Notamacropus eugenii: one gene and its partner. The protein of the gene in region 1 binds, or shares a complex with, the protein of each later gene. Links are inferred from orthologs where the notes say so. Each region holds a gene or a part of one and is shown on either strand. Other genes may lie near its edges.

Evidence for each region.
Region 2: the proteins of PDS5B (region 1) and WAPL are in contact, whole or in part, in a crystal structure (PDB 5HDT), measured with the Homo sapiens proteins. The link is inferred for Notamacropus eugenii from reciprocal best matches to the Homo sapiens genes PDS5B and WAPL. Residues at the interface, in NP_055847.1 of Homo sapiens: Gln47, Phe88, Ala92, Pro93, Ala95, Trp137, Val138, Lys139, Ser140, Asn142, Ile143, Phe145, Glu146, Glu187, Gly188, Asp189; in NP_055860.1 of Homo sapiens: Lys7, Thr8, Tyr9, Ser10, Arg11.

What each region holds. Positions count from the first base shown.
Region 1 is NC_092876.1:201,637,892-201,652,827, reverse strand, and holds the start of PDS5B (sister chromatid cohesion protein PDS5 homolog B), read right to left. Parts: upstream 6,242-14,936; 5' UTR 6,115-6,241; intron 5,343-6,114; exon of another isoform or gene 5,324-5,342; intron 1-5,323. UniProt on the Homo sapiens protein: Regulator of sister chromatid cohesion in mitosis which may stabilize cohesin complex association with chromatin. May couple sister chromatid cohesion during mitosis to DNA replication.
Region 2 is NC_092872.1:253,005,507-253,021,287, forward strand, and holds the start of WAPL (wings apart-like protein homolog), read right to left. Parts: upstream 8,161-15,781; 5' UTR 7,911-8,160; intron 7,454-7,910; 5' UTR 7,391-7,453; coding exon 7,383-7,390; intron 7,353-7,382; exon of another isoform or gene 7,232-7,352; intron 5,556-7,231; coding exon 5,035-5,555; intron 1-5,034. UniProt on the Homo sapiens protein: Regulator of sister chromatid cohesion in mitosis which negatively regulates cohesin association with chromatin. Involved in both sister chromatid cohesion during interphase and sister-chromatid resolution during early stages of mitosis.

The DNA of each region.
Region 1 (14,936 bases):
CTGACCTCCTTATTTTACAAATGATGAAACTGAACCCTAGAAAGGTTAAGTGGCTTGCCCAGAGTCAGATACATAATAAGTGTCTGAGGTGGGATTTGAACCCAGGTCTTCCTGGGTCTAAGTCCAGCATTCTTATCCACGATATACCATACTGCCTTTCTCCTTTCTAGTAAATTATCAATGCTGTTCAGAAAGTCTGAAGCCTTAAGTGCAAACGCAAATATTTATAATGACTTTTGTTAATAACATTAGATTCTACATGTTAATTAATATTTGAAATCCTCTATCATCATGATTTCAATGTCATAAAAATTAAGAGAGTTCAAAATGCTTTCAGCATAATTATCTTATTCTCTTGACTTTTATTGTCAAAGGATGGTTACAGAAATCAACACTGAGTATCACTAATTTGTTTAACAAATCAATAAAATGCACAAAGGCAGTTGTATTTGTGGGGTTGGGTGGTAATTAGGGTTAGATGACTTGCCCAAGGTCACAAAGCTAGTAAATGTCTGAGCCTGAATTTGAACACAGGTCCTCCTGACCCTAAGGCTGATTGATACTCACTGTGCTATCTAGTTGCCGCACAAAGTTAGTTTTTTAAAAAGCTGAAGGAGGTATAATTGCTTAAAAGGGGTTACAACTGCCCTATAGTATACAAAATGCTATTATTTGGTAAATATATCAATAATATGACAAAGATCTGTGATTTCCTTGGTGTGGGAAGATAGTCCACCAACATACAGCAACTGCCTATGCCTTGGCAGGTTAAGGGGAAATGGGGAAGGAAGGGGAAAAAAATCTAAGATATATGAAAGTGATGGTAGAAACCTGAAAACAAATAAAATAATTTTTACCAAAAAGTCTTAGGGAGGTGCCAGTGATCAAAGAGGAAAAGTGACTTGACATAGTCACATAGCTAGTGTCAGAGGTAATATATAGGATCTGAATCCAAGTCTCCCCGTCTGCAAAGTCCAGTATTCTACTCACTACATCACATCAGCCTGATTGTCTTTGATTTGATACTTTTTAAAAATAAATATGAAATTTACAGTTACCAACAGGCACATGAAAAAATGCTCTAAATTACTGATTAGAGAAATACAAATTAAAACCACTCTGAGAAATCACCTATCAGATTGGCTACCATGATAACAAAAGAAAATGACAAACGTTGGCGAGGATGTTAAAAAACGGAGACACTAATGTACTGTTGGTGGAGTTATGAACTAGTCTAACCATTCTGAAGAACAATTTGGAACTATGGCCAAAGGGCTATAAAACTGCGCATACTCTTTAACACAACAATACCACTACTAGGTCTGTATCCCAAAAAGATCAAAGAAAAGGGAAAAAGACTTATTTGTCCAAAAACACAGCAGCTCTTTTTGTGGTGGCAAAGAACTGTAAACTGAGGGGATGCCTATCAACTGGGAAATGGCCAAACAAGTTGTGGTATATAATTGTGATGTAATACTATTATGCTATAATAAATGACAAACAGCATGGTTTCATAAAAACCTGGGAAGATCTTGACAACAACCCAGGGAGGTGGGTGCTGTTATTATACCCATTTTACAGTTGAAGAAACTGAGACAAACAGAGGTTAAGTGATTTGTCAAAGGTCACACAACTAGTAAGTTGTCAGTGGCCTCATTTGAATTCAGGTGTTCCTGACTTCTGGCCCAGACCTCTATCCACCTACCTACCATCATATATGAAACGCTGAAAACTTAAGTATTTATTAGAAATATCATTTCTAAGGGATCAGATTATGCAAACTGGCTTTAGATAAATTAACCTAAAGTCAGTCAGTCATAGAAACAAGAGAGACTTACTTCCTCCTGGCTCCAGAACCACAAATTGTACTTTCTTCTTCCCATTCTACAATGAGGAAGAGTCTGGATCACTGGTCTACTCTCTAAGCTGTCTTAACTAATTATCATTCCTTAATAACACAGAAAGAACAACCACCCCCCACTACCACTAAGAAAAATGCAATAAGAGTCCCTGGCTCCCAATCTTCAGGAGCAAAAGATCTTGTCAAAATACCCAGGCCAGTAACATTGACAGAAAAAGTTCTAGATTATTTGAGCTCACGTGGGTTACAAGATTCTGGGTTTTGCTGAAAGAGCTTCCCTTTCCACTTTCCCTCTCCCTCCTGCCACATTATTCTAAAAATGCTTGATTTGACTTGTAAGAGTAATATTAGTCATTTATTAAGCAGCATAACAATTGTTGCTTATCATTAAATGTGTCAGGTAAATTCTTAAGTTTAACTTCATTATAATGCTAACTAAATTCTGCTGATATATACTCAGTCTTCAGTATGTTGGTCACACAATATGATCAATCACTGACAATGATATTAAAGAGACTTGATCTCAAAGCAGCAGTGAAAACACACTAATTCTTAATCTTAAATTGGTAACAAGAGACAAAAATATAGTAGTAGCCTACTGTCACCAGGGCAACATTTGTAAAAAGACTTGTATAACTAACTTGCCTATATTTTAGGCAAAGAATTGGTCCTTAACATTCCTCCCAAATGAAACTGCAAACTATTTGGTAGCCTCTAATTGAAAATTAAAAGATAAATTCACTCTCAGTGATAATACTGAAATTCATTCTCTCTCTCTACCCTACAATAGGATGCAAGATAAAACACAAACTTTTCTAAATATCTGAAACCCTATGATGGATATTGACTCTGGAGCAGACTGAAAATTAAGAAAAAAATGTATACAAACTTGAATTTTTAAAATAACATTAAATTTTCCAAATTTTAAGTTTCAGAAATAAAAATTAATATCATATATAAGGAAATTTACACCATGAAAAAACAAGCAGCTTAAAACCAAACAAAAGCAAACAGACATTTTCAGAAGCAGGTAACTACACACAACCTCAAAAGAAGCTGTCAAAACTAGATTAAGCAAAGGAACATCTGGTAGTTTACTTTGAAATGCTACTTCTTGGCTGATTTTGTGGCCTAAGAAAGAAATAACTTACTGCCACACAAAGAACCCTATGTTCAGGCTCTGGCTCACTCCCCCACACAAACTAAGAATTAAATGGGAGTACCCACTGGACAAGGAGTCAAGACCTGAACTCCATGGAGTGCAGGTTCCATCACCCTATATCTGGTAGAGGGTACTTTAACCTGAGGCATCAGTTTCCTCATTTTCAAAATCAAAGGAGTTGAATGTACATAGTTGAATTTAAGTTCTCTTGCAGCACTAAAATTTATAATCCTACAAAGCTATACCATGTTTATAAATATTCATACAGCTAGTACCAATCGCTGAAATTTGCTTATTTTCTAACAAGAGGAACATATTTTTTAAAAAAGCAAATAATTGTCTTCTCAATGCTATTTCCACAAATCAGATGATAGTCCTTCCCAAAAAATCACAACTCAAAAAATTCTAAAGACCCTTTGCATCAAATGAAAGCAGTGAACAATTCTGTTTTCTCAGTTTTAGACATAATTCCATCACATCACAGTTCTCAAGAGAGTAACTTGAGTAATGAAAGATATCACTTCCTCCTCAGACATAATAAATTGCTTGATAATTCCATAGTCTAAAAGGATTATTTTAAATCAATTCTACAGAATAATCTCAAAACACAAACCTACTTTTTTTTTCCAGGAGTCAACTCATAGTGGCAAATCATATTTTTAAACAAGCAAGCTTGATCACATGACTTCTCATGACAGCAAGTATCCTTAACCTCAACACCAACATTTCCTCTACTTATAAGAAAAATGAGAAAAAGAAGAAAGGGGTGTAAAAAAAAGGGGAGGAAGAAGAATCTGAATACTAGAATTAAAAGGATGAGCTAAGGAGATAACCACAATGGAGAAAGAACAAAATAAAGGCTGAAGACGAGAAAATTTTATTTTTTAAAAAAGAACATAATTCAGATCCACAAAGAAATGAAATAGTACAACAAAAAGTATAAAAGTTAAAAAAAAAGTTTAAATGTACATTTGGTATTTCTGCAGACATAAACATTTCTGAAATCACACACACACACACACATATATATACTTAAGTGTTCAAATGAGCATCTTATTAGTTCATTTTTTTAAATGAACTACTTATGTTTCTAAGATGTTTTCATTACTCATAGAATTCCTCAGAAAAAATTTAATTTTGAAATCCAGAAATCAAACCATTACAATTTAGAGTTTTAACTACTTGTTTCACAAGCAACACATTTTAAGTAAGTTCTGTGCTGATAACGAAAATAAGACTGAGCATGTTAACACGCTGACTAAATGACTAAAAGTAACATAAGTTAGAGGTTGAACTTGCCCTTGGACAACTCATATACCTGAGGGAAGGCTTATTGTCCTTAGTCATGTCAATCTCATGTGAAATGTGTACTGTAGGGTGCCAAGACCAAAATGTGTTCATGTAAACCTTAATTCTGATTTGTGTTGTATGCTATGTTAACTTTCTTATTTGGTAGATTACTTGGTTCAGATAGAAAATCCATTCAAACCTACATCTAGGTTTGTTAAACAAGCACGTTATTTAGAATGCCACTCAAAATTTAAATAGCAAAATTCAAAAAATTTTTATACTCTGTCTCTTCTAATAAACTATCAACAGATTTTTAAGGGTTACCTTTACTTGGGAAGAGAATATAGGATGTTATACAGCAAAAATATTCTTAAATGTAGAAAAGATCCATCACAGAGACCTCGGCATGCATTTCATAAACACTACGGCAAAGCAGAAAACACAGCCCACTAACATATTTCATGAAAAAGAGTAGAAATGAAATAAAACGAACCGACAAAAATAAAGGCACTTTCAGAGGGCTTCCCTTCAAAATATATTTTCTAATGTTAACTCCTGCTTAAGGGTTTGGATTACGCTCAAGTGCTATGCAGATATCCCTTTCTCCTGATTCAAACCCGCACTGAACTCACGGCATCTCGTTAAGTAATGCAGTACAGTGCGGTGCAGGTTTACACCTCATGGCTCAAATTCATACACTTAAATAACTATATTTAAAACAAGAAGTTTAATGCATGTCCCGAAGAATTAAAATACGAGGCATGCCCCGCAACCAGAAACTTTTTGAAGTGTGCACAAGGGAGACCAAAACCAGCCGCGGAGGTGCAACAATCTCTGATTATTCCGCAGTTCTGCCAGCGCTCATTCCGGTTCACACTGCAAGGCTCCCTGAGGCTCAGACCAAACCCAACTGTCACCAGGGTGCAGTAATTTAGAGTGAGCCCCAGTCCTCCTCCATTCGATCCCAGGCTGCCCCTCCCCACAGCCTCCCGGCGGCCGGTGAGATTTACCTCCGGTGACTGACAAGTTACAGTAGACAGCAAACGGACACATTGTATCCTTTTCTCCTCGCCCAGAGCAAAGGCTGAGACGACGTGGGGGCAAAGGGGAAACCCCGGGCTCGTGGGGCTCAGGGGGAGCCTGCGGGGGCGCCTGGAGAGGGGCCAAGCGAGGACGCTGCGGCCCCCCAGCTTTCGCAGCGCAGGCTCTTCCCTCCCCCTCCCACCCCACCCCCGGAAAGGAGAAAAAAAAAACCCGCCAGAGGATTCAACAGGAGAACCGCGCCGCCCGCCTGCGGTCCGCGAAACAGCCCGAGCCCGAGCCCAGGCCGGCGGCGGCCACCGGGGAGCGGGGGGAGGGGAGGCGCGGGAAGGGGGCGGCTGGAACCCCGGGCTGCCCCTCGGCCCCCGCCGCCAAGGTCACCCGGCCCCGCGGCCGCCCCGCCCGGAGGAAGGCGGCAAGTTTAATTTCTTAGAAGCCGTGGATCAAGCCAGCGGCGCGCGCACGCGTGTGCGCGTGTGTGTGCGCCGGAGTCGGTGCAGGGGGTCCGAGGGGGGTGCAGGAGGTCCTGGCCCCCGCTCCCTCCCCCGCCCGGAGAACGAGACACCTCCCGGCCAAGGGGCTGCTCAGCCCTCGAGTCCGAGGCGAGCCGAGCCGGAGGCAGGACGGCCGCGGCTACTGCAGGGCGGGCGGGCGGCGCTTCAGCCCCCGCCAAAGGCACACACACCGCCGGCCGCGGGAAAATGGAGCGCCCGGGCGGGCAAGAAGAGACCTTTCTCCCGTTAATTGAATTGTTTCCTACCTCCGGCTGCCGGGCTCGCTGCTCCTCTCACTCCGCCGCTCTCCGGGATCCGCCGCCGCCGCCGCCGCCGCCGCATCCAATCGCCTCCTCCTCCCCCCTCCCCTCCCCTTCCGCAGCTAGCCCGGCCGTTCCTCCTCCTCTCCGCTTCAAAATGGCGCCAAGCGTTCTCCGGCGGCAGCTCCAATCGAACCGCGGCGGAGAGCACCCAGGGGCAGGCGGAGCGCGGCGCGGGGGCGCAGCGCCCCCTGCCGACCGACCAGCAGACCAGCCAGACCGGGTGTCGCTCAACCGCCCGACCCGCCTCCCCGGCCAACCGCGCCCGCGCGCTCCGGGGTGCGCGCTCCAAGCACGCGCCCGCGCGCTCCGCGGTGCGCGCTCCAAGCACGCGCCCGCCCACACGGCAGCTGCCAATCAACCCGCAGCTTCGGTGTCTTTGGCGTCTCTTAGGAAAAGAAGCAGATAGCGAGCCGACCTCTGCGTTTTGGGAGCCGAAGATAAGAAACTAGAATGAGTTTTCTTCTGGAAAGGGAGATTTGGCAGTATTCCGTGGTCTGCTCGCTTTGCACTTAGACGGGAACTTTGATCCAATCTGAAGTACCTTCCAAAATTAGCAATTCTACACGGTGTATTTTCGCTTCTTTTTTTTGTTGTAGGTGGTGGTTTGTTTTACACGGTCCTCAACGCGCATTTCAGTCTAGAAAAAAATAAGCAAGGTGATCGTCCTCTTTATACCCTCTCCACCTTTTGTGTTATCTTCCTTCCCCTTTGGATTGAGAGCCCTTTGAGGACAGGGACGCAGAATGGGCGCTGCGTTAATGTTCATTGGATTGGACTCCGAACTTTGTTATATGGTTCTTCATAAGAGCCTTTATCGAGATTATCACAAAACTGCTGTTTCCTCTTCCGCACTTTTCTCTGTTTTTTTTTATATTGCTTATGGCCTCACTTTCTCTATGCCTTCTTACAAAAGTAAATCCCACTGCCCTTTCCATTCTGGTAATGGCCAATGTCACATGATAGACAGATAGATAGACAGACAGACAGATAGAAAGGTAGATAGGTAGATAGATAGATAGATAGATAGATAGATAGATAGATAGATAGATAGATAGATAGATAGATAATAGACAGATAGATAGATAATAGACAGATAGATAGATAATAGACAGATAGATAATAGATAGATAGATAGATAGATAATAGACAGATAGATAATAGATAGATAGATGATAGAAAGGTAGGTAGGTAGAAAGATAGATTAGATAGACAGACAGATAGGCAGACATATATGTATGTGTGTATGTATGCGTATATATCACGTGTGTATATATATTATACATAATACATATGAAGAGAATGCGTTATGATGACACTTTTTAGAAACTTTGTTTCAATAGAAATAGTACGGGACACGAATTCTCTCCACAGAAATCAGGCTCGGAGAGGCCACTAGATGGTGCAATCTAGTCAGTGCTGGACTTGGAATCAGAAAAAAAATCTATGTCTATTACTTCAGATTCTTAACCTCTCAAAGCCTCCGTTTCCTCAACTATAAAACAAAGATAAAAATAGTACCTCAACTTGCAGGGTTGTTGCGAGGATCAAAAGATATAATACGTGTAAAGTGCTTTGCATCCCTTAAAATGACATATGAATGCTATTACTATTACGACTGTTATCATTGTATGGGAAGCATTATTCTTGATTCCAGATAGAGAGGAGAGGTCCTCCCAGCTTTCCAGGACTTTTCTCACTTCCCTTGGAATGATTTCTCCCTTAGTCTTATCCTATCTAGGCGGTGCTGTCCCCCTTAGAAAGCAGGAACCCCAAGAATGTGATCAGGCTCTGGACTTACCAAAGTTACTTGAGTACCAATACATTCATCTGTCACCTCAGCCGCCACTGCCAACAACCCAGAGCTGATGAGATTTTTTTTTCCTGTATGAGTGCACTTTCAAAAGAGTTTTATTCCCAGAATAAAGGTATCACCAGCACCCAGCACAATTCCACACACATAATAGGCATTTAATAATTGCTTGTTGAATTGGATAAGAAAAGTCAAATTGCAATGTGTATAATATAAATATATAAATATATTTATAATATATATAAATTATAAATATATAAGTTCAGATTACCACATTTTGTAGGCTATACCAACACTTGATGAGGTTATGTTGCTATGCAAACTAATTTATCATAGTAGGATAAAACAACATAACATTCCGCTTTCACAAAACATTGTCATGACAGTGTGCTGAAACTAAAACTATAAATTACCATCTCCTCTGACTTCAGTGAACAATATATCTTCCTGAAGTTCCAAAATGTGAATTAAACATACTTTGCTATACAGTTATTTCAAGTGAAGAAAAGATCTGACTACTCCACAGTCCTTCAAACTTACATCATGTTTCCTCAAGCCCTAAAGTGATCTTAAGACCTTTCATAGTTTTCACAATATACAGTAAAATGCAAATCTCTGGCAAGTCAAGGTGGAGGGAAGTAAAAAGAGCTTAGCCCTAGTAGAATCTTGTGCAAAAAAAAAAAATAGAATTATTACTCAGAGAAAATTTTATTTTTCAGAACCATAAGGACCATTAAAAAACAAATGATCAACTAAAAAAGTAGAGAATTGAATTCAGAAACACTGAATATCTTGGAACATTGGCAACACTAAACTGAGTGCAAGGAATTTTTCTGGTAGACTTAGCCCTTCACAGCAATTCAAGGACCTAAAACTTTCCCAAAGGACTCGAGGCAAAACACCATCCACATCCAGAGAAACAACTATGGAATTGGAACACAGAATGAAGTAGAATATTTTCTCTTGTGTTATGTTTTGTTTTGTTTAGGTTTTTCTCATGATTTCTCCCATTCATTTTAATTCTTCTATGCAACATGACTAATATGAAAATGTGTTTAATAAGAATGTATGTGTAGAACCCATATAAGATTGCATGCTATCTTGGGAAGGGAGCAGGGTGGGCAGGGGAGAAATCTAAGACTTATGGAAGTGATTGTAGAAAACTGAGAACAAATAAATTAATAATTAAAAAAATTAAAAAATTATTAAACTCGCTACCTAGCATTAAAATGGTAGAGTCTAATGTTGTATGAAGTGCTGAGACCTAGAATTGTTATAGGGGCAACATCTCATTGAACTATATGACCAGAATCACCAAGTAATGATCACCAATACCAATGAACTCATTGACAGACAGTATCAAATGGATGAATAGAAATGAAAAATAGTATTCCAGAGCTGAAGTGACAGCACAAAAATAATAGCTGAAATATATGTTCTGCTTTAAGATTTACAAGAAGTTTTACATACATTATCTCATTTGCTTCTCCCAACAACCCCATGAGGTCAATAATGTAATGATTATTACTCCCAATTAACCATTAAAGAAATTGACCCAGAGAAATTAACTGATTTGCCAAGATTATATAATAAGCAGCAAAGTTATGATATGTTGTTTAAAATTGAAACATTCAAACTTTTCAGTGGTCTGTTCAGCGTTTAGGTCTAAAGTAATGGGCAAGCAGCATGATCTACCCTGTTAAATGTATCATTTAACACATATAAAAAGGACAAATAAACCCTCTAAATAACTCACTCAGTGGAGATGTATGGCCTGAACATCACAAATAGCATAAGTTTCTACAAACAGTGTCTACACTGTCAAATCAGAGAATTTGTGTGAGCAGGGTAAAAAAAACAGAGAGAACATGGTTAGTAGAATTATCTCCAGCCATGAAAGGCCACATGACAGCTACAATATGGAACGACCTATGTCTACCTCTCACCCATCTGGATCTTCAGGTTGTCTGAACTTTATACATAACACTTCTTGAAGTAGAAGCATAGGGGGGAAAGGATATGGCTTCCATTTATACAGAAGATTAGGCTTGTAGACCTAGCATTTCCCCCTAAAACACCCTAGGCCAGATCCCCTCTGTGACTGAGAAATCAGAGGAACTCTTTGCTCAAGTTTAGATCTGGCTATCATCCAGCTTTCTGATTCTCACTTTGGTCACAAGCTTTTGATTCTCCTTGCTCCCTCAGAGCCTGCTGAATTTTTGTTGCCAAATGGATTGCTAAGATAGATAGAATAACATGTTACTTCTGGCCCTTCCTGGGATCTATGTTTGACAACCTCTTCTTGGATTTCATCTACTCAGTACAAAACCTGCCTTCTGGCCTCTTGTTTCCCCAAAACTAAGATTATCTTGAAACTGACCTCCCCTCCCTACCTCCTGCAGACCCCCATAGCAACATCCCCTACAGTATCACTGCTAGGAAGTATCACCCAAGTAACCCTGTAACACTGGGTGACCCTCAAAATTCCTCAGTACTTGGAAGAAACCATCTCTAGAGATGGTTAACAACAAAATTATTTCTGGAAAGTCTGGAATTTTAACTGGTATCACTTGGAAATAGGTTATTTCCTGGCTGACAAAATAAACAGAACCTTGTACCAGGAATGTTGTTATTGTTGTGGGGTTTTTTATATCATATTTATGAAAATAGTATTAGTCACAAAAAAACTAAAGATGTAAGCAATAGCTAAAGTAGACTGTGAATAAATGCAACATTATAGAAACAGTAGAAAAATTAGAGGAATAAAAATATTCTATCTTGGCCAGGATCTGGGAGGAACAAGGGAACCCATGTAAGAAAAGATTGCACATATACTGGATTATAACTATGTTATCTGGCTTACTTATGTCTAAGGAAGACTGGCTACCCCTACTCAGAAGAAGCCATCTTTGTAGGTTATTCAGGGTAAGCCAAAGACTCCTCTCTCCCCAGAAATGCACCCCCTACCCAGTAGCTCCAGAGCTCCACTATTCACATTAAACAAACTTCTCTGGTTGAAGTTATCTTCTAAAGACCTTTATTAAAATGTAGCTTTTATCTAATCAAGTGAAATTAATTTATTTGCACCCTAAAACATTGGTAAAGAACAGGGGTCTGAGGGAATGAGAATGTCAAGAATCAGTAAGCAAAAGGAAGCAGTTGATAATTTTTGGAGGTTAATGAACAGGAAGCATTGGGGTCTTCTGAATGCCCTTAAAATTCATACTAAGTGGGAAAGTAGACCATTTCTTCTAAGCAAGAGACCAAACTGAGTCACCAACATTATATGATTAGGATATAACAGGAAGGTCCCTCCATACAAAAATACCTCCCCTACGGGTACCTAAAATTCTTTCCTTGGTGATTTTCTACTTTGTGTTAAGCTTTGGGCTCACTGTATGGTTCTTTAAAAATATTCCTGGGGATATTAAACCCTAATACCTTAGTAAAAACCAAGTATTCTAGTGGCAGAAAGCAATCAGTCAGTCAACCAACAAGTATTTATTAACCTCGATTATTCTGTGCCAGGCACTATGCACTTTGGGGATAAAAAAAAAAGAGGCTGTGTCTATATGTATATATTTACATATATATATATACACACATATACATGCATATACATATATACACACATACACATATATATGCATTATAAGTGTTTCCCTGTATGTGTGTGCCTATATGTATATACACATATGCATGTGTGCATACATGTCTATGCACTTATGTTTGCATACATGCAATGCACATATGTGTGTGTGCACGCAAAACTGCTTGTGTATATACGAATGTGTGTATACATGTGCATATATGTATGTGTACATATATGTATATGTGATGGCAATCAAATTAGGATCTTTTACTGTTTTTGTTTTACTAAAAGTACCTCTGATTGAATAATGTGATTAAAGAAGACCTTTCCCATCCATTAATGGACCTGCCCATTGTGGGAAGCTTGATTAGAGGAGTTGTTTTATAGAAGGGTCCCAAGTACTTTTTGTTTTTTCTCTTGAGGCTCTGAGTCAGAGGGTTATGCCCTCTGGCTCCAAAAAGTGTATAAATACTAAAAAGTGTATTAAAAAGTATATAAAAGTGCATAAATACTCTGGCTCTTAAAAGTGTACAAATACTCTAAAAAAGGTGAGCTTTTACTTTCAAGCTTAGTTTCTGTAAGAAGATTTGAGTGCCAGAAGAGGACTCTGGGAAGTCACTTTAAGGAGTCCCCAGCTTTGAATACCCAGATGTCGTGCTTCCCTCTCTGGTAACTATGGTCAGACAGTTGGGGTCCAACTGTCTGTTGAATTCAGCAAAGGAAGCCATGTCTGTTGATCTTTGATTTCTCTGTATTTTCTTTGACGTTCAGGGTGCTGACTCCCCTGAACTAGGTGAATGATATATGTGTTTGGTTAAAGGAAAGATATACGTGCTTGATTAAAGTGATTGTTAACCCCTCAAAAGTTACCTTTCCTTTTATGAATGCAGATTTAAGAATCTGTGATAGCAGGTCCCCCTGCGTATGTTGGGGTGTTTACTGATACAGTATATACATGCAAGTGTGCACATACAGATGGACAATTGAATAAGGAGATAACATATAAGATTGGAAGTCGAGAACACCTGACTTTGCATTCTACTTCCCATCCTTACTAGCTGTGTATCTATTAGCAAATCATTTAACATTTCTCAGCCTCTGTTTTTTCATGCTTAAAATGAAGATAATAATACTGGCTGTACTTATCCCATAGGGTTGTGTTGTGAGGCTCCAATAAGTTAACATTGCAGAGATAACTGTACAAACTATACAAATGTAGTGATTCTTAGTGTGTCTGAATTTGGGGGTAGGGGATAAGAAGGGCTGTTAAGGAAGGTGAGGATCTCCAAAATAAACTGCATTTACTTGTTTAAACTAGGAATATTCATTTTTTAAAATAGTGGGTCACATTTGAAAATGTGCTTAAGATAGGAATCACCTTTTTTTTTTTTAAGTGAGTCACAGATCAAAAATCAAGGTAGCCAAGTGGTATAGCCAATAGTACATCGGACTTGGAACCTGGAATATCTGAGTTCAGATTGTGCCTCAGACATTTACTAGCTATGTGACCTGGGAAAGTCACTTAACCTCTTCTTATCTCAGTTTCCACATCTGTAAAATGGAATTAATAATAACACCTACCTCCCAGCGTTGTTATGAGGCTCAAATAAGATAACATGTGAAGTGCTTTGCAGACCTTAAAGTGCTGTATAAAGTCTAGTGATATTGGTGATGATGATGATGATGCTTCCAGGGAGGTGAGTATTTATTCATTTAATTATATTAATCATCAATTACAATTATCTATTGATCCAGACTTTCTAGGTATTGGTTGCTTATGCTCTTTTTGGCATGCTAGTTCATAACAAATGAGGATCAAATGAGATAATAATTGTAAAGCACTTCTCACTTATAATCCAATGAGTGAAACTTCTCTGTACAGGCAGTTTGCAAAGTGGGGAGGGAGGAGCGGGGAGAGGGTACAGGGTTGTAGGGAGACACAGACTGACTTAAACAGTCATACAGACTTCATAAAGTCTTCTTGGATTCCCTTAGGAGTCATACAAAACAAACCACTATGATGAACAAGCCTCTGGGGAAGCTGGCTATAAATTACTATTTGCAATAGCTAAAGCAACTACTATTCACTCTTATTCTAGAGTAATAATTTAATTATGTGTGCAATCCATTGGCACTTACTAAATACTGGGAAGTCTCTTTAGACACACTGTAAGCGATGGAATCTGTTGTTGGAATGCTGTTTTAACTCCTTATACAAATATCATTTTACTATGTCTCCTTTGTAACTGTTACAAAACTTTGAAAAAGAAAATACTTTAAATTGATACAAGTTTAGGTAAATCCCTTTAAAATAAAACAAATCTAAAAACATAGAACAGATTTTTCTTCATTTTAGTGATATCAATCATTATGCTATGGAACAAAAATTTATTGTAAGCCAGGATGTCCTGGGTCCAAAAGCCACCTCTGATATAATCTGGCCCTGTGAACCTCACTCTCAGTTGCTGACAGATCAATAGAGAATTTCCTCAACCAAGATCTGCTCTGCACACTTATTAGAACAGTTTCATGCAAAAATAAAAAAGCAGAAGTCATATACTTCTCTCAAGGATAAGTTTTACTTTGTCTTAGATAGAGCCATATATTCAGATGAGAAGAAATCATCCCATAAGGAAGTAAATGGTCAAGAATTTTTTTTAAATCCTAAATAACTGATCTATCCTTATTCCTCACATAGTTTTTAAACTGAGTCCCACAAATGTTTCCATTATTTTAAGAGGAAGTCTGGGCCAGAACTAAAGATAAGCAAAGTCAATTGCTGCTAAGGGCACAATATGCAAGGGGACACAATGAAGAATGCTTTTTAACATTAGTTGTGTATGTGTACAATGCACATATTTAAAATGCTAGAAGATTCCATTCTCTGTAGCAAATAGGTATTTATTTGGGGTCATATGAAGGAAGGATAGAAACAAGCACTTATTAAATACCTACTATGTACCAGGCACAAATATTATCTCATTTGAGTCTCACAGCAACTATGAGAGGTATCTCCATTTTAGTAAGGAAATTGAAATATACTTGATATAAAGTGATATGTTATAATGAAGCCTCAAAAAATCCAGACTTGATGAAGAGTTATCTTTGTTTATCAAATGTTGACCAATGCAGATGAGGTCACATGAATGTTCCTATAAATTTTATACTCTGTTCAAATGTTGTTATTCATTCTTCTTTTGGAAAAGGACCAATGACCATCACAAGGGTGATGTCTTGACTTGTGTGTGAATTGGATTTAAGTGAGGCAGAGATGGTTTTACCAGGGTGTGGCCACTGTGCATGCTATAACTTTGTGAAGCCACGGGTAAGAGTTGGATGTATTAGTGTATGGAAAGAAAAAAC
Region 2 (15,781 bases), on another chromosome or scaffold:
AGAGCCTTCCTTATGGGATGTTGAGAGTGACTCAGGATTGGAGAATAATAGGGCTGTAACAACAAAAGGACAGGGGAACAAGAGAGTGGAGGGGAGGAGATAGTGCCTCTCTGAAACAGCTGACTATAAGGTTGAGACTGTGAAGGGAAAGAAATGAAGGCAAAAGAGCTGAGAAACAAGAGGTTACAATGAGATTCAAGAACAATAACAGAATCTTAACAATGTAGTTGGGGAGCAACGGTGAAGAATAAATAACTACCACCTCTCAGAAGGGTGAGGTAGAATGGAGATGGAGAACTTGAGAGCTGGAAGGTCATCAACATAAATGATGACTGGAGTTGAGATGGAGTAAAAGCTGCAAACTAAGTGCTAAAGTCATTGAGAAAAGGTAGCAGCATGTCCTAAACTTTGATCGACAAATCAGTTATAAGTTCATGTTCTTACAAAGGGAGATTGTTGAAAAATGGTGACAGAAAGAAAAAGATTTTTAAAGTGACAGGGGGGAAAGGAGAGAAGGGGACAAGAAGGTGTCTTCTCTTCCTCTTGTAGTTATGAGAACACCTAATACTGGAAAAAGGTGGCATATTCAAAAGACCAACAAGTTTCAGTTAGTGTTAGGAGTTATAATGTATATGAGATGAAAAGTGTAAGGATGAAGGAATGTGTAAAAAATAAAACGGGTTACAAAAAAGGCAAAAAACAGATGACTGGGGGGAGAAAGGTAGATAAGAGAATACTAGGAGAGAAAAGGAAAGGAACAGCTGTGGTTCCAAGTAACAGGGGTTCAGTGGGGAATCTGAAGGTTCCATCATACCAACATTCTAATTAGAACCCTGGGGCTAGTTATTTCCAAAACCTTCTGCCTACTTGGTAATTCCCCTACACGATAGCTAGCAAACTACATTTTATTTCAGAGGGTTATATAACTCCACAATAGTTTAACAAGACAACATGTAAAAGCACACTGAAAACTATAAAAGCATTATATAAATGTACAGTGGTAGTATTATTTTAAAGAATTAGTAAACTTAAATCAATACTCTCTCAAAATTATCCTTAAAGCAAAATACACCTCAAAGTTCACCAAGATTTAACTTCTGGGGAAGCAGTTTGATTTTTTACAAGCAGTCATTCAACACTATGGGTAAAGCAAGGCAAGGCAGATCCTTAGAAGTACAGAACTGCTTGCTAGTTCTTTGGTATCTCCCACAGTTCTGGGCAAGTTCTAGGAATTTAGTAGAAGTTGATTAATTGATCCCTTCTACATATTACAGAACTCCACGTACTCCACATATAAACTCTACGTTTATTTTCTTTACTTCAGAAAATCTTTCACAAGAAAAAAATTATCTAGTTTACAGCAGGGTGAATCTATTCATATTATTTGCCTTTTAAACTGTTACATTTATACTTTAAATTACTTTCATTTCATTGTCAAACAAAACAGAAACAATATTATTAAAGCTGACTTTAAAAAAAAACTTGTTAAATGATATTTTCATTAAAATTATTTAAGACTTTAACAGATCTAGAACAAATGCATTATTAGTCCCTTATTCAAGTTAATTTTGACTCTTACCTGGCAGCAGGACAAACTGTTTACTTACTGTGAAACAGTTTAAATAACAAATTATCAATTTAGTTTAGCAACGTAAAAATGCTAATAAAATAATTTTTTGTTACTGCTTTTGGCAAAATGTGTTCGATGGAAAAATCCTGTGCTTCCTGATAATGTATAGTCTTGATTTCTTGGTCTACTTTAAATTTGGCCAAGCTGAAAGAAAAGGCAGGCAGCTAATGAATATAAAGATCATTGGACAAAGAATCAAGAGTTCTTTCCTTTGAGGAGAGTGGGAGAAGACAGCAGCAGGGGAGGAGAGACTCACAGACCGAATAACCTTGGGCAAGTCACTGAACTTTGTTTTCTTATGAGTAAAATGGGAGAAGGGGAAGAGAAGAGAGTGGAATTTTTCATGTTAATCCAATTAATTACTATTAAATAAATATCTAAAACACTTTAAATTCAGTCTAAAAATTAACTCCTATCTATGTATTTGCCCAATTCCTCAATAAATGTTAATGATATGCTACCTCCTCTCCTTTGTGCATATACAAAGGTCTGGAACCTGAAATACCTGACAGAGACTGGCACATAATAAAAGCTTATTGACTGACTGATCTGACCTCAAGTTCCTAACCATACACTCCTTTACAAAGGAGTGAATTTGAATTCACTTAACTACTTTCCCAGCAGGGGCAGTAGTCACTAATAATAAGTCTGAATGAGCCTTTTCCAATGATTTGATTGGTCTGAATGAAGAAAACCCTATAGAATAATGTTATAATTGCCCTGCAATTCAAAGAACTTGTTACTGCCCATGCAGTTCCTGGAAAATATAACTCACTGCAACTAATTTCTAATGCCCTGAAGTCCTATTCTGATGAATCCTCATGACATAGAAATTACCTGTAGTTCTCAAAGGTTCTGACCCTCTTGTTGTTAGTTCATCAATCAACTAAGTTGAAAAAATTCCTCAATTAGATAAATGGGATAATTAAGCTTCTACTCTATACAAGCCACTGCAAATAAGACAAAAAGAAAGAACCTCTGCCCACATGAAGCTTATGTTCTACCGACGGATAACAATGTAAGTACAAGCTAATTATAGATTGGAGACAACACTAACACCTCAGAGAAGGAAGGCACTCCAGCACTGAAGCTCAGAAATGATAGACATAGAAAACACAGCTTGTTCAAAGGCACAGAGACAGGGGACAAAATGTTCAGGGAACAAACATAACACAGACTGGATGAAATGGAGGACAGACCCGGTAATGTTTTCAAAGTCAGGCTGAGCAGTTTGATAGTTTATCCTGGAGATAAAGTCAGCAATCACAGAAGGTTTCCGAGTAGGGAAGTGACAATTATTTTGCGTATGGAGGATGATTTCAGAGAAGATAGACTAGAAGTAAACCAGACAGATAAGAGATTAAGACAGGACTGAGACAGAATAAGAAAGAGACTTGGCAACTAGGTGAATACAGAAAGTGAGGGAGTGGTAACAGCAAAAGATAGCAGAGATTTCAAACCTGGGTTATTGAGAAGAGAGAGTAGTAGCGCCCTAAAGAGGTCTAGGGAAGTTTGATCAGGAGTGTTAGGGGAAAAGGGGGATAAGTTAATGAACTATTTTGGACAAGGTGCCTTTAAACTGTCAAATGGCCACCCAAATGGAGATGTCTAGGAGTCAGCTGGACATGTAGGACTAGAGTTTCGGAAATTCGGCTGGATGTCCATGTTTGGGAACAACCATTTGGACATGGTAACTGAACACATAAAAGATCAGATCACCAAGGAAGAGCATGTAGAAGAAAAAAGCCCAGAAGAAAACCCTGGGGAAAAAAGGAAGATATTCACTCTTAGGGCCTATCCAACAAAGGAGGTAGAAAAAAACTGTCTCTCAAATGCCAAGATGGATCAAGGAGGGAGAAGATTCAAAGTCAACTGGAGCAAAAGCTGCCCAAGTCAAGGGGAATTCAGATAAAGAAAAGACCAACATATTCTGCCAACTCAAAGAGATCCTAGAAAACCTCAGGAAAAGTAACCTGTAAAAGTCTGAGTTAGAAGGCAAGGGAAGTAGAGGCAGCACACATAGATCATTCCTTTTAGGAGACTGGCATCAAACAGGAGAAGAAAGGATGAAAGCCTAGGGGATAGCCAGGTCAAAAAGGTTAAGTGTGAGACCTGGGTATGTTTGTAGGCAAGGACTTCAAGTTTCCTAAATTAATTAGATTGGCCTGAAAACCTAACCATTATTGATGATCAGACCTCAAAGGGCACTTTGTTTACACATCCCTTATGCACTTTTTATTATACATCTGTGTACATGTCATACATATCCCTCTCCCAAATTCTGCATCTCCTCTGGCACATAACACAGCTCTGCCCACAGTTGGTGGCTTAATGAACACCCTTCTTGCATCTTTCTCTTCCCACCTCCACAACGTGGGAGTCAACGGAGCCCTCTCCTCGTCTCCTTGCTATAATCTCATTCTCTCCTTAAGCCACTATGGGAGTTGCCAAACCACTGCAACCTGCACCCTGCACCCAGTCTTCAGTATTTTACTCCCCCACACAAGGCTCGGGGTAACTATTAGTACTATTTCAGCTACATTATGGGTTAACTCAAGAATATTTAACTGTGAATCACAAACCTCTCTGTACTTGTTTCCTCTCCAGAAGAGGGCAAAAGGTAGGGGCAGTAGGGTTGATGAGATGAACCTTTAGGTCCTTTCCACCTATAAAATTCTATTTACTGGTTAATCTAGGAACCAAACTGCCACTGATAATAACACTGATCCTGGGAGGAAATATCTTTCAAGTTTCAAAATAACCAACCTGAAAATGAACTTTGGGAATATACTCTTTCATAACCTGGGCACTGACTGTCTTAACTATTAATCTCAGCCCCAAATCAAATCTCACCAAGAAACAGAGTAAAATACTAATTAGTTATGCTCAAGAAAACTACAAAAATATTAATTATGACTAATACTTGTTTTCTGGAGCCAAAACTGTAGCTTATTTAAACATTTTAAACTTGGGCTAATTCCACAATTTAAAATTCATGTTATTGTCACTACCAAACCATGTAACCCCACCAAATACTAGGTTTGACAAAAAAGGTATTTTATAAATATTATAACCTAGTCCACATTATCTGATTTACAGATATCCCAAAAGGTAGCCATCTGGAGCACACACAAAATGCTGTTCCATAGCAAAGGATTATCCATTTTACAAAAATAAAACTTTTTTCAAAGGCAACTGTTTTCCTCAAAATTCTGAAATTTATTTACAAAATTGACAGTTATTGCGGTCTTATTACCTATCCCCCATTTTTCAAAGTCAAACAAACGTTTTGGCTAAAGCAGGTCAATATTCTACATTAAATAAAAGTAAAGGGCATGCATACTTAGAAGGAGCTGTCTATGACAATTATAACCAACGCTTCCAAGTATGAAATAAAGACTCACCTTTAGTTATTAGTTTTGCACTACTTTTGTTTTCACCGTCTTCTAAGGTTCGGTTTGTGCTCTTTTCTTTTAAACCAAGGAAAGTACTCTCACAAGGTAAACACTTGCTCGACACAATAATGTCTTCCGTGATTGGTTGACTAATACAGCTGTTAGCTTCAAGTACAGAGGTGAAGTCACCCAGATGAGCAGCTTCACCAGGCTCCAACTGGGAGGAACTCTTAGCCTGGGCCACATTCTTTGAAGAAACTGGTAAAGATTCTTCATCACTATCAAATCCAAAAGGATCTTCTGAATTTTCATCTTCCACTTTAGGCTTCTTAGGAATTTCTGGGATATCTGGATTTAAATTAGGCCTCTTTTGGCCTAATTTGGCCATAAAGGTAGTCTCTCCCCACTTTGTACTAAGGGTGGTCCGTTTGTTGGAAAATACTTCATCAAATTTAGAGCTGCCATTTCCCCCTTTCCTGCTATATGTTTTCCCAAATCTGGATGTCATTTTGACACCTGTTTCATATTCTCTGTGGAAAAATCAAGAAAACATAACCAATATTGTAACCAAAAATTTAAACACCACATGTAAAATTAAGTTGCCAAACAAGTATGACTGACTACCTTACCACCTACGATAACAGAATTCATTAAAGCTCCAAACTGAACCAACAGTCAATGTACAGTACTCATTTATACATTACTTAAGTGTAATAATTAAAAAGCTTAAACTTTAGACACTCATCTTTTCAAAACAGAAAAGCATAAATAAAATGTAATTCAGTAGTATTTACCTTTCAGACATGTTAATGTTAGGTCATACATACTATATTTATAGATTCCTAAGCTTTTGCTTTTTAGACCAAAAAAAGAAAATATGGTACCACACTGAATCTAACGTACACTTCTATGCTAATTTCAAAAATGTTGGATCTCATGTTAACTTAGTTTGACTGAAGATACTGCTTTTGTATTTGATAAACTAGCGCAAGTCAAGTTCCTTAACATTAGTTCCATGGTCCATATTATAAATGTACAACTTTATTTTCTTTTTACTTTTTTATCTGTAAACTTCATGGATTCAGATTCATTCAGGTTTATTTATAGTAGACAAATATGTACTCAACAGAGAAGAAAAGACATGTTTGGAGAAACCTCTATCTTTATGCAAAGTCTCCAGAAAAAGATAAGATTACATTAACTAAAAGATTAATACTACGCAACAATATATGTGTCAACTAGTCTAAGGAATACTAGGAGAGGTTTCTACTCATAAGGAGCTTACATTCAATTGGGGGGAAGGAGGGAGAAGAGAGGAAAGGACCAGAGAGGAACACTGTGTACCCAAGGTGAAAATATACAAAGCAAAAGGGGGGGAGAGAAGACTTCATCTTTCTTTCATATTGTACATGACATGCATGTATTCTTTCACTAATAATCCCCTTCCACTTAACTGTGATGAAAACTTTTTTAAATTCACATTACTGAAATCACTGAAATTTTAATATAACAATAATTATAATCGACTCTTAGAGGGGCATAGTTTCACTGTACTGTAATTAATAAGCTTGAAAGAAATGGGCTATAAGCTACACGCAAAAAGCTTTCCCTAATTTTGAAATATCACAACAATGGTTTTTTGTATCAGAATTTGCCCCATGTTTCACTGAACTCCACAAATTTTTTTTTCCTAGGATGTACTAGGAATCACTGACAAACTGATCTTTTCGAGTATTCAGCAGGAATTTTTTCCGTAGGAGATATAAAACCCAATGATAAATTCCTAACGTTTACTATAACCTTTGGGAGTAGAAACAGGAGATATCTGTATCGCCTTGCGCTATAGAGTTTATTGGTAAATTTTGTGTTTTTCTTTCTTAGGCGTTATAAAACCAAAATGTTTTATTTAAGCAATTTGTCTATAAACAAGAGAACTTGGCCATTTCTATAGAAAAATGGAAATAAAACTGTGCACTTCTTCAGTGCAGGATACGTAGATACTTGGGATATTTCTCAACATGGCACACTGGGGAAGACTGTTGGACTGGAAATTCCTTGGATTTGGCTTTGAATCTTCTACTTCTACTCCTGTGGCTTTAAGCAAGTCAGCTGACCTCGGCGGGTCTCAGTTTCACCTCTTTCAAAAGAGGGGATTGGACTAAACCTCTCAGGTCCCTTCCTACTCCATGACCTAAAAAGTTAACACCTGAGAGTTTGCCAAAAGCAGGAACCCCGTGGACAATCTCATCTCGAGTGGAGCCTTTTCAGGTCTAAGCTGGAAGAGCTCGCCGAAGGCTGCGGGGCCGCCCCGACACCCCGAGGGTGGGCGGACAACTCCCAGTCACCATCTCACGTACATGTGCATAGGCGCGCGGGTCTCAACCTTTCACTCGGGCCTTCAGACACATTGGCAGCTCCTCCCAACAACCTGTCCGGGCCAGAGAGAAAGGGGCACTCAGTGACCCCGGCGCCTGGGGGCTCTTCCTCCCATACCCACTCCGCCCCGTCCGCCCCCCCCAGGTTTCTCCGGGGGTCCCGGCCTCCACACTTCTCTCCCATCGTCCCCTCCCCGAGGCGGCGCCCGAAGAACAGTGCCCCCTCCCTCCGTTCTCGGGGGCAGAAGCGGGTGCGCTGCCGGCGGCCGCCGTGCACTTGACCGAGAGGCGCTGGGGGGGGGGGGGGGGGAGGGAGGGAGGCGCCCCAGACTTGGCGGCCTCTCGGAAAGGGCCGGGAGTGGGGGGGAGGGCGGGCGAGAATCCAGACACTTCTCTTCGCCCGCCCGTTCCCCCAACTTCCTCCGGGTCGCGTCGCACCGGGCGCCCCGAGCCCCCTCCCGGGTCCCCGTCTCGGGCGGGGCCTAGCGGCCGCCACGGGACCTCACTTACCCTGGGCGCCGAGCGAGCGGGGTGGAGACTCCGAGCTCCGGCCGCCGCCGCCGCCTCACCTTCCCGGCGGCCCCCGGGCGGCGCAAGCCGGGCGGCCGCTGGGGCCCCGCGCGCGCGGGACGAGGGGGGGTTAGAAGGGGGGGCCGGAGGGTTGGCGCGCTCGAGATGGGAGACGGTTGACGCGCGAGGAAGAGGGGGCCGGGGGGGGGGAGGGGAAGAAGAAGAGTGCCGCCGCCGCTGCCCCGGCCGCCGCCGGCGTCTGCTCCGGGCCAAAAGGAGCCCGCAGGGAAGGGAGGAGCGGGAGAGGGGGAAGGGGGGGAGCGCCGGCGGCGGCTGCCCCGCAACTTCCCCCGCTGCCGCCGCCGCCGGCCCGGGCCTAGGCCGCCCCGTCCGCGTCGCCGGCGATGACTAGCTCCTCGCGCTGGGCCGCCGTCGCCGCCGCCGTCGCCCCCGCCTGCGCCGCCTCCTAGCCCGGTAAGTGGTCAGGGCTGGAGTTTGAGCAGGGCCCTGAACCATCTCAACGCCATTTGCGCTCCCCGGCTGGCCGCCCCCCTTCCTCCCCCAGCCGCCAGCTCCGTCACGGCGCTTCCCACAGGCCCCGCGCGGCCCCGGCCGCCGCAGCCAATCGCAGCGCCGGTCGGACAAACCGTCGCGCAGGCGCGTGGCGCCGCACGCGCGGGGGCCGCCATGGTCTCGGCCGCGAGGGCCGACGGGAAGTGTAGTTCCCGGCCACACTCCCTGGGCGGGGGCGGGGGTGAGCCACCGTGTTCGGAAGCAGTGAGTAGGAGGAAGGGCCGGGACTCGGTTGAGGCCAGGCGGGGACGGGGGTGGGCCCAGCGCCCTCGGAAGCTCCCGGCCGGGGGAGGGAGTGCAGAGGCTGGGACCGTGGCGGACGCCCTGGGTGTCGGTGGCTCGCCCTGCAGGGACCTGCCGCAGCCGGGGGACCCGGCGGCGCCCGCGAACTCCGACTGGGATGCACCGGCTTTCAGGCCCGGGTCTCGGTCAGGTAGGGGAACAAAATGTGCCCACCTGCTGGCACATTCAGTCCGGGTTCTTCCGAGCTACCAAAGAGGCTCGTGGAGCCCATGGTGCTGGAGCGAGCTTGGGGGCTACCCACCGCGCCCCCCCGGCGTCTCTGCTGTTTGTGCCCCTCTCTCCCTGCCTCTCTTTTGACTTGACCCTCGTAATGAGCCACAAAATGCAGCCTGGTGAAGATAGCACGAAAACATTTACGAATAGTCTATATGGAAGAAAGCAACCAAGAACCTTTTTCCTTTTCCTTTTCATTTTAAAGGATCAGAAAATTCTCAGTGCTCCCAGTGAGTCATTCTGGAAATTGACAGCTTCCAGCTACTGATGTCACCGATCCGTAGGGGATCAGGTAACTGGATCTGTTTTCTTTTCTATTCTTTCTCTCTCTCTCTCTCTCTCTCTCTCTCTCTCTCTCTCTCTCTCTCTCTCTGTCTCTGTCTCTGTCTCTCTGTCTCTCCCTCTCCCTCTCCCTCTCCCTCTCTCTCTCTCTCTTCCCCCCTCTCCCTCTCCCTCCTGCCCCCTCTCCCCCCCCCCAATTCTCTATGCTTAGGAACTCGTTGTGAAAACACATTGATTATTTGCTCGATACTTTTTTTGTGTATAAACCTTCAAAAACCTCATCAATGGAAAACTAAATTTATTTGACCCACTTGTACTTTACTGTGGAATTGCACTCATCTGGGCATAAGGAGACCTGGTTTCTAATTCCGCCTTCGCCTGTAGCTATCTGGGTGACCTTGAGTTACATGTTTTAGTGATCTGGGCCTCAGTTTGCTCATTTGAGACATAAGGGAATTGAGATGGATGATATGAGATTGCGTTTTCCGTCTAACAACTTTAACAATGTAATGGGTTTTTTTTTTAATTATCACTATATCATTTCTCTTCCCACATAAAGTTTAATAAAGATACCAAAATAAAACCACATTCATGACTTCTGCATCTATATGTCACCTTATTCTTGGGCAAGAGGGAGCTTTAATGGAGCTTTAGGTAATTACTTGGGAAATTAATAAGGTATTAGTTACCATTTTTCCTTAAGTCCTTCCATTCATATGCCTAAAGCTATAAATAGACTATGTTTATGAAGTACTTAAAGTGACTTTCTTCTAAAATCATAAGAAATAGTTTAAACAATATGTAGCCAGTATATTATGAGTCCATAGAAAACTGTTCCTATTCAAGGCATTGATGCTACTTAGCAGTTGAATGATTCAAGTACCACAGATGCATTATTGTAAGTATAGATAACTTGTAACTGAACTTTTGACCTGTACCCTTAAACTTCTGGGTACAGTATCTTTTTTATTTTTCCTTTTTAAAAGCCAACTCTATTGCATGTCCTGAATAGAAGTTAGATACAAACTATTCCTCAGGGTATAGCTCTGCAGGAGTGTTTTATCTGAGCCAGTTTTGCTCTAAAAAGTCAATGTGGGACCTTATTTTATAATTTTCTTTGAAGACTACTTGTTGGGGTACAGGCTCCACTTACTATAATTACTTAGATGATACAGTGGTGGTGCTAATTAAGGGGTAATTATCATCAGAAGCAAAAGCTAAGATCAAAAAGTCAAAAGGAGCAAGGAGATAATTGCAAGATTTTTTACCAAAGGTATATAAAGCTTGCTGTTAACCCTCTAAATTCAAAACTATGTAAATTCTTTATGGGGTAGGCCCAGTGGCTGTTGGGAAGGCCCTGGAGTTCAAAAACACTCCCGAGACCCCTTTCAGGTGTCTGTTTTCTCCCGGTTTTAAAATACTGAACTAATGATGTCAACTAAAATGAGCACTTCTGTATAGAGAATGGAGCTCTCCTGTAAGCTACTGTCATTCCGACCCAAATGTAACAGTCACATTTCTGCACTCATCCAGGTAACTTAGAACATGAACACTGCATTTAGGTCCTGGGATTTTCTTAACAAAAATAAACTTGCCCAGAGCCTTTGTGCCCTCTTCACTGACCTGTGGTCAAGCAAAAGACACCCACTACAACCTGGCTGTCCTCCCTGTGGCAGCCTTTGGGTTCCTTTGGTTAATTTCCATTTTCTTTGTTTCCCTAAACACTTCCATCTACATTTCAAGTGAACAAACTTCAGAAGCTGGAAATGCAGGACCAAATAGGGCCATGATTTTTCCTGTCTGGGGCCTGTCTCTCCAAGGAGAATTTATTCTAAGCAACTTGGAGAATAGGGACAGTCTCTTTAAACACCACCATCAGGACTCAATAAATACTTGTTGAAATTGAATTTTTCTTAATGATAAGGCTAGAAACAAGCCAAAGTATTTGTATTGTATTAGAAAATGTGATACTACAGGAGACCACCTTTCCTGTCTTCAGAGGAGCGTTAGTGCCTCCTGCCCCCAACTAGACTTTTGAGAAGGAAAGTCCCAAGTGAATTTACAATTACACTTTGATTATAGCTTTCAGATAATATCCCTGAGGAAAATAATAATGGCTGTGAGGTGTACTGCTTATGTCGTCCTCCCTTAATCTAGCAGATGGTTACAAATTGAAGTTCAGGAGAAATATATTTTTCATTTGTAAGAACTTTTTAAAGGAAAATAACTTAAAAGTTACTTGAGAGAAGTACAAAGGAACAAACATTTAAATACTTACTATGTGCCCTGTGGGCTAAGGGCTTTTAAAAAAAAAAAGCCTCAGGATCAGAAGGGACCTTTTTTAAAAAGAGATTTGTAAAGCTCTTTGCTTTACAATAAAAAATGCATAGCAGAAAACCAGGAGACCCCAATTTGGTATTTTCAGTTAAGAAAATCCAGAAATGAGATTATAAAGAAATCTTTTGGAAACTGTAAGAAAGACATCAGTAAGAAAGCAGCTGATAAGCTTTTGTTGTTCTTATTCTTAGTTTAGTATTTCCTGGGGGGGGGGGGGGGGGAAGGAGGTCATTTTGGGTGGCTTCATATGTGTTGTGGGGTTTTTTAGTGCAGTGCCTGGCATGTCGGTACATAATAAATGTTATTTGGTGAATTTCTTTTTCTTGGTATAGAGAGGATTTTTTCTTACTTTCCCATTTCAGAAGGTGGGGATCCCTAGAACATACCTCAGTGACCTTACCTTTCATGAAAATTTGAATAAACTCCCAAAGACATTCTTTTAGGAGTATATTACTATCTCATTAGTCTCAAGTGTAGGTGGAGGAAAGACAAAATGTGGTTGGGGAGTCGATCTAACAAAGAAGGATACTTACATCTGAGATTCTAGGAGTGTTAGAGAAAGACCCTGAAAGTTGGGGCCTTTCCAGGCCTGGATATTCAGTAGGCTGGGCTACTGAGTCAGAGGAAGCCCAGTGGAACTTTCACCTTGAGTGCTGTTTCCTTTTCTAGCCAATCACTTCCCAAGTCCTGTGGCTGTCAGCCCTGAAACGTCTCTGGCCTCCTATCTTCCTGTTTCTTCTGCCACCACCTTTGTGCAGGCCTTGCTGGAAAATTGCTATAGCTACCAGGCCTTCCTGCAGACTTGCCCTCCTTCAGTTCCTCCTCCCTGCTGCTCCCGACTTACCTTATGAATAGATCTGGTTAGATTCCCTCACTTAGTAAGACCTTTTTCTCAGACCCTCTTGTCTTCCAAAGGAAGTTTAAAGTCCCTTGTCTGGCATAGGATTACCATGGGATTTAGACCCCATAGGGTTCTTAACATCTTTAGAGATGAGGAAATTGAGGCACAGGGAGGAAATAACTAAGCCAGGTCCTTTGAAGTCCCTGTGAACTCCCCAATTCAGTGCTCCAAGCTCCACCATCCAATGCCCTTGGAGCTGTAAGGCACCTAAGAAGTCACCCAACCCAAGGCCTTCAGTTTACAGGCAGGAGGTCAAAGGCATCATGATCTTATTTTGGGGAACAAAAGTGAAAGTCTGGTGCCATACAACATGGAATAGAGTTCACATGTTAAAAAGCTATTTTTTTTTATTAATCCCACAATCACAAACGATTTATCTTTTCATTTTAAAAACCTATAAATCTCCCTCTGCTCACCTAAAAAAGCTATCAATTTCCCTTCAATTCTGACAAAATCAAGTGATCTGGAATTCTTTTTACTGAAGGAAAATGCCCAGCCTTGTCATTCCAGGCCTGCATTCTGGTCACACATGACTTTTCAACTTCGGTTTCATCTCATTTCCCTCTGGGCACTACCTCTCCAGCCCAGCTGACCTGTTCCCTGTACATATATTTACCTCTCTTCCTTTGTTCTTGCAGTTTCCTGTGCTTGAAATGCCTTGTCCTCCGTCCTTTCTCGCATCTCTGGAATTCCCCCATCTTTTAAAAGATCTACCCTTTTGGTAGATGCTGCAGCCTCCACAAAGCCTTTCCCCATCCCCCTTACTGATAGTGTCTTCCCCATCAGAATGGAGACTTATCTCCATTACATCTTGTTTTTACAGTTATGTGCATATTATCTTTCCCCTATTAGATTGTAAGCTTCTTCTAAGCAGGAACTGTTTTTTTTTTCATTTTCTTTGTACCCCCTGGGCTTAACCAGAACTTGACACATTTCACTCCTCAAACTTTATGTTACTTTATACCTCACTTTATACCTTCATCAGTGGGTGTCATGTCCCTTTTATTAGCCTATAAGCTCCTTGAGGGCAGAGGCAGAATTGGTGCTGAATTTGGTGTTAAATTTAGTCATTCTCTAGATTAATAAGCATGGGTACCCTCGGAGTTTTCATTTCAGGCATAGACTGGACTCTGGTCCAGTCCAACTCAGACATCCTTCAGACAAGAATAAGCAGATAGGAATAAATACTCAAAAAGGAAACCTGGGCACTGCCAGGATCCAGGCCCCAGGAGGTAGAGGGCAGAAGTGATAAAGGAGAGAGAGGAGGTGAATCTATGGTACTGGACTATGAGGGAGGGGAGAGGAGGAGACACCATAGGGGAGCCATGTTGAGGTTCAGGGTGCCTGGGATCCCAAAATACTGACACTGGGTCGTGCTCGAATGAATTTGACTCAAGCCTTCTTTCAGCCAAAATAAAACAGTTTATTAAAGATTCACCATATTGGGTTGACTCTTTAGGAGCCTAAGTATTTATAATGTTTGTATTAACAAGCAGGACAGATAGAATCTCAGCTAGACAGAGTCTGAATTGGATTGAATCTGAGCACCTTCATGGAGGCTGGTCCTAATGGTAGTGGTCAGTAGCCTGGGGTGTCTAAAGGTCTTGATGGGAATGACCAGTACCTTAGGGTGAATAAAGATCAAATCTAGGGAGGAATCTTGATGGGAGTGGCCAGTAGCCTGGAGAATGGGATTTTGATAGGATCAAGGGTGGGAAGTATAACAGAGATTTGAGCATAGTGGTAATGAAAAACCTATGGACCTCCTGAGACTGCCAGATTTAGTGGGAAGATTCAAGGAAGTTCCCAGACTCTGGGGGAGGGGAGAGGAGGTGACTATGAGGGAGGTTGGGGGGGTAACCTCATAGGTCATCCCTTGTTGTGAAAGCAAGCTCTACAGTTGAATGTGGGAGACTCCTCTGCCAAGATGATCAGGTTGCAGGTATGTTGATTTAATGGTAGAAGATTTTTCTGTGGTGAATGTGTCTGTACAAGGACCACAAAGGAAATAAATGCTCATTAGATTTACAAAGGGCTCAGTAGACATTCCTCTCCTTTCTTGATAAAAACCGCCATGTGGAGCTTCCTGCCCAAAGGAGCTTTGGATTGGGCTCAGAACCCCGACCTAGAGCTTTCTGGATGACCGAAGCCAGTCAAGCCCCTGCTGTGAACCTTAAGTTCTTCCTCATTTGACCTCACTCACAGAATTATTTCAGTGAAGGATAGTATAAGGCTGAATGTTAGCTAATGCCTTTTTTGTGACGGAGAGATCTAGTGACCCAGCTGGAGAGGCAGTGTGGAGGAAAATGGTCCCTAGATGCATCAATGCAATGGCTGGTCATTAGAATCCAAATAGGATTTAGGGAATTTACCTGGTGACCTCTCCTGAGGACTATGGTCAGGGATCCCTATCATTTTGGGACAGCCAATGAGGTCAGGGCCACTTCCTAGCCCTGCTAGGCTTTAAATCCTATGGACTCTCAGATTGTGAGTTTGGGATTTGGAGTCAGAAAAAGCTGGGCTCAAATCCCACTTCAGCTACTTACTAGCTGTATGGCCTTTCTGCTTCCTCTTCTGTAAGGGGGGGGAGGGGTCCAGGAGTTTGGACCCAGTGGTCTCTAAGGCCCCATTTCAGCCCTAAATAGCCAGTTCTATGAACTGCACTGCCCTTCTGGTCAAATATTTTGATTTTTGTTTGTTGTGTCCTGGGAGGCCTGTACACCCTTCACAGGAACATCCCTTTTTTGCAGGCAGGAGTCTGTGTGCATACAAGGCCGCCTATTCAAAGAGCAGCCTAGCCAAGTTTTCTTGCTCGTAACAGGCACCTGCTGTTTTTTTCTCTCTTCTCACTCAGTACCTCGGGCCTTTGACAACTAGCCACAGTCTCTTGGGGGCCTTTCTCAGTCGACCACTTCGTGCCCTTGCACTGTGCACCCCCATGGCAGCCTCTTGGTCCAGCTCCTCCCCACAGGCAAACTCAGGCCCGACAAGTATCATGAGCACCCTGGACAGAGAGACCTCCCTCCAGAATCCTGCTCCCTGGGTCACTGTTTCATTATGGATGAGTGTTGGCCTCCAGGGCTGAAAGATGATAGATAGGTCTCCTGGTGAATTTTCCCAGCTTGAGGCCAGTCCTCTCAGAACAATAACATGAAAGTCCCCAAGCTGAAGGATTTGGTTGATTTACAAATTCTGAATTCGGGGCAGGGGGGACGACTTAAATCTCAGTGGGACAAACCTACTTGTGGCCACCCTCTTTCAC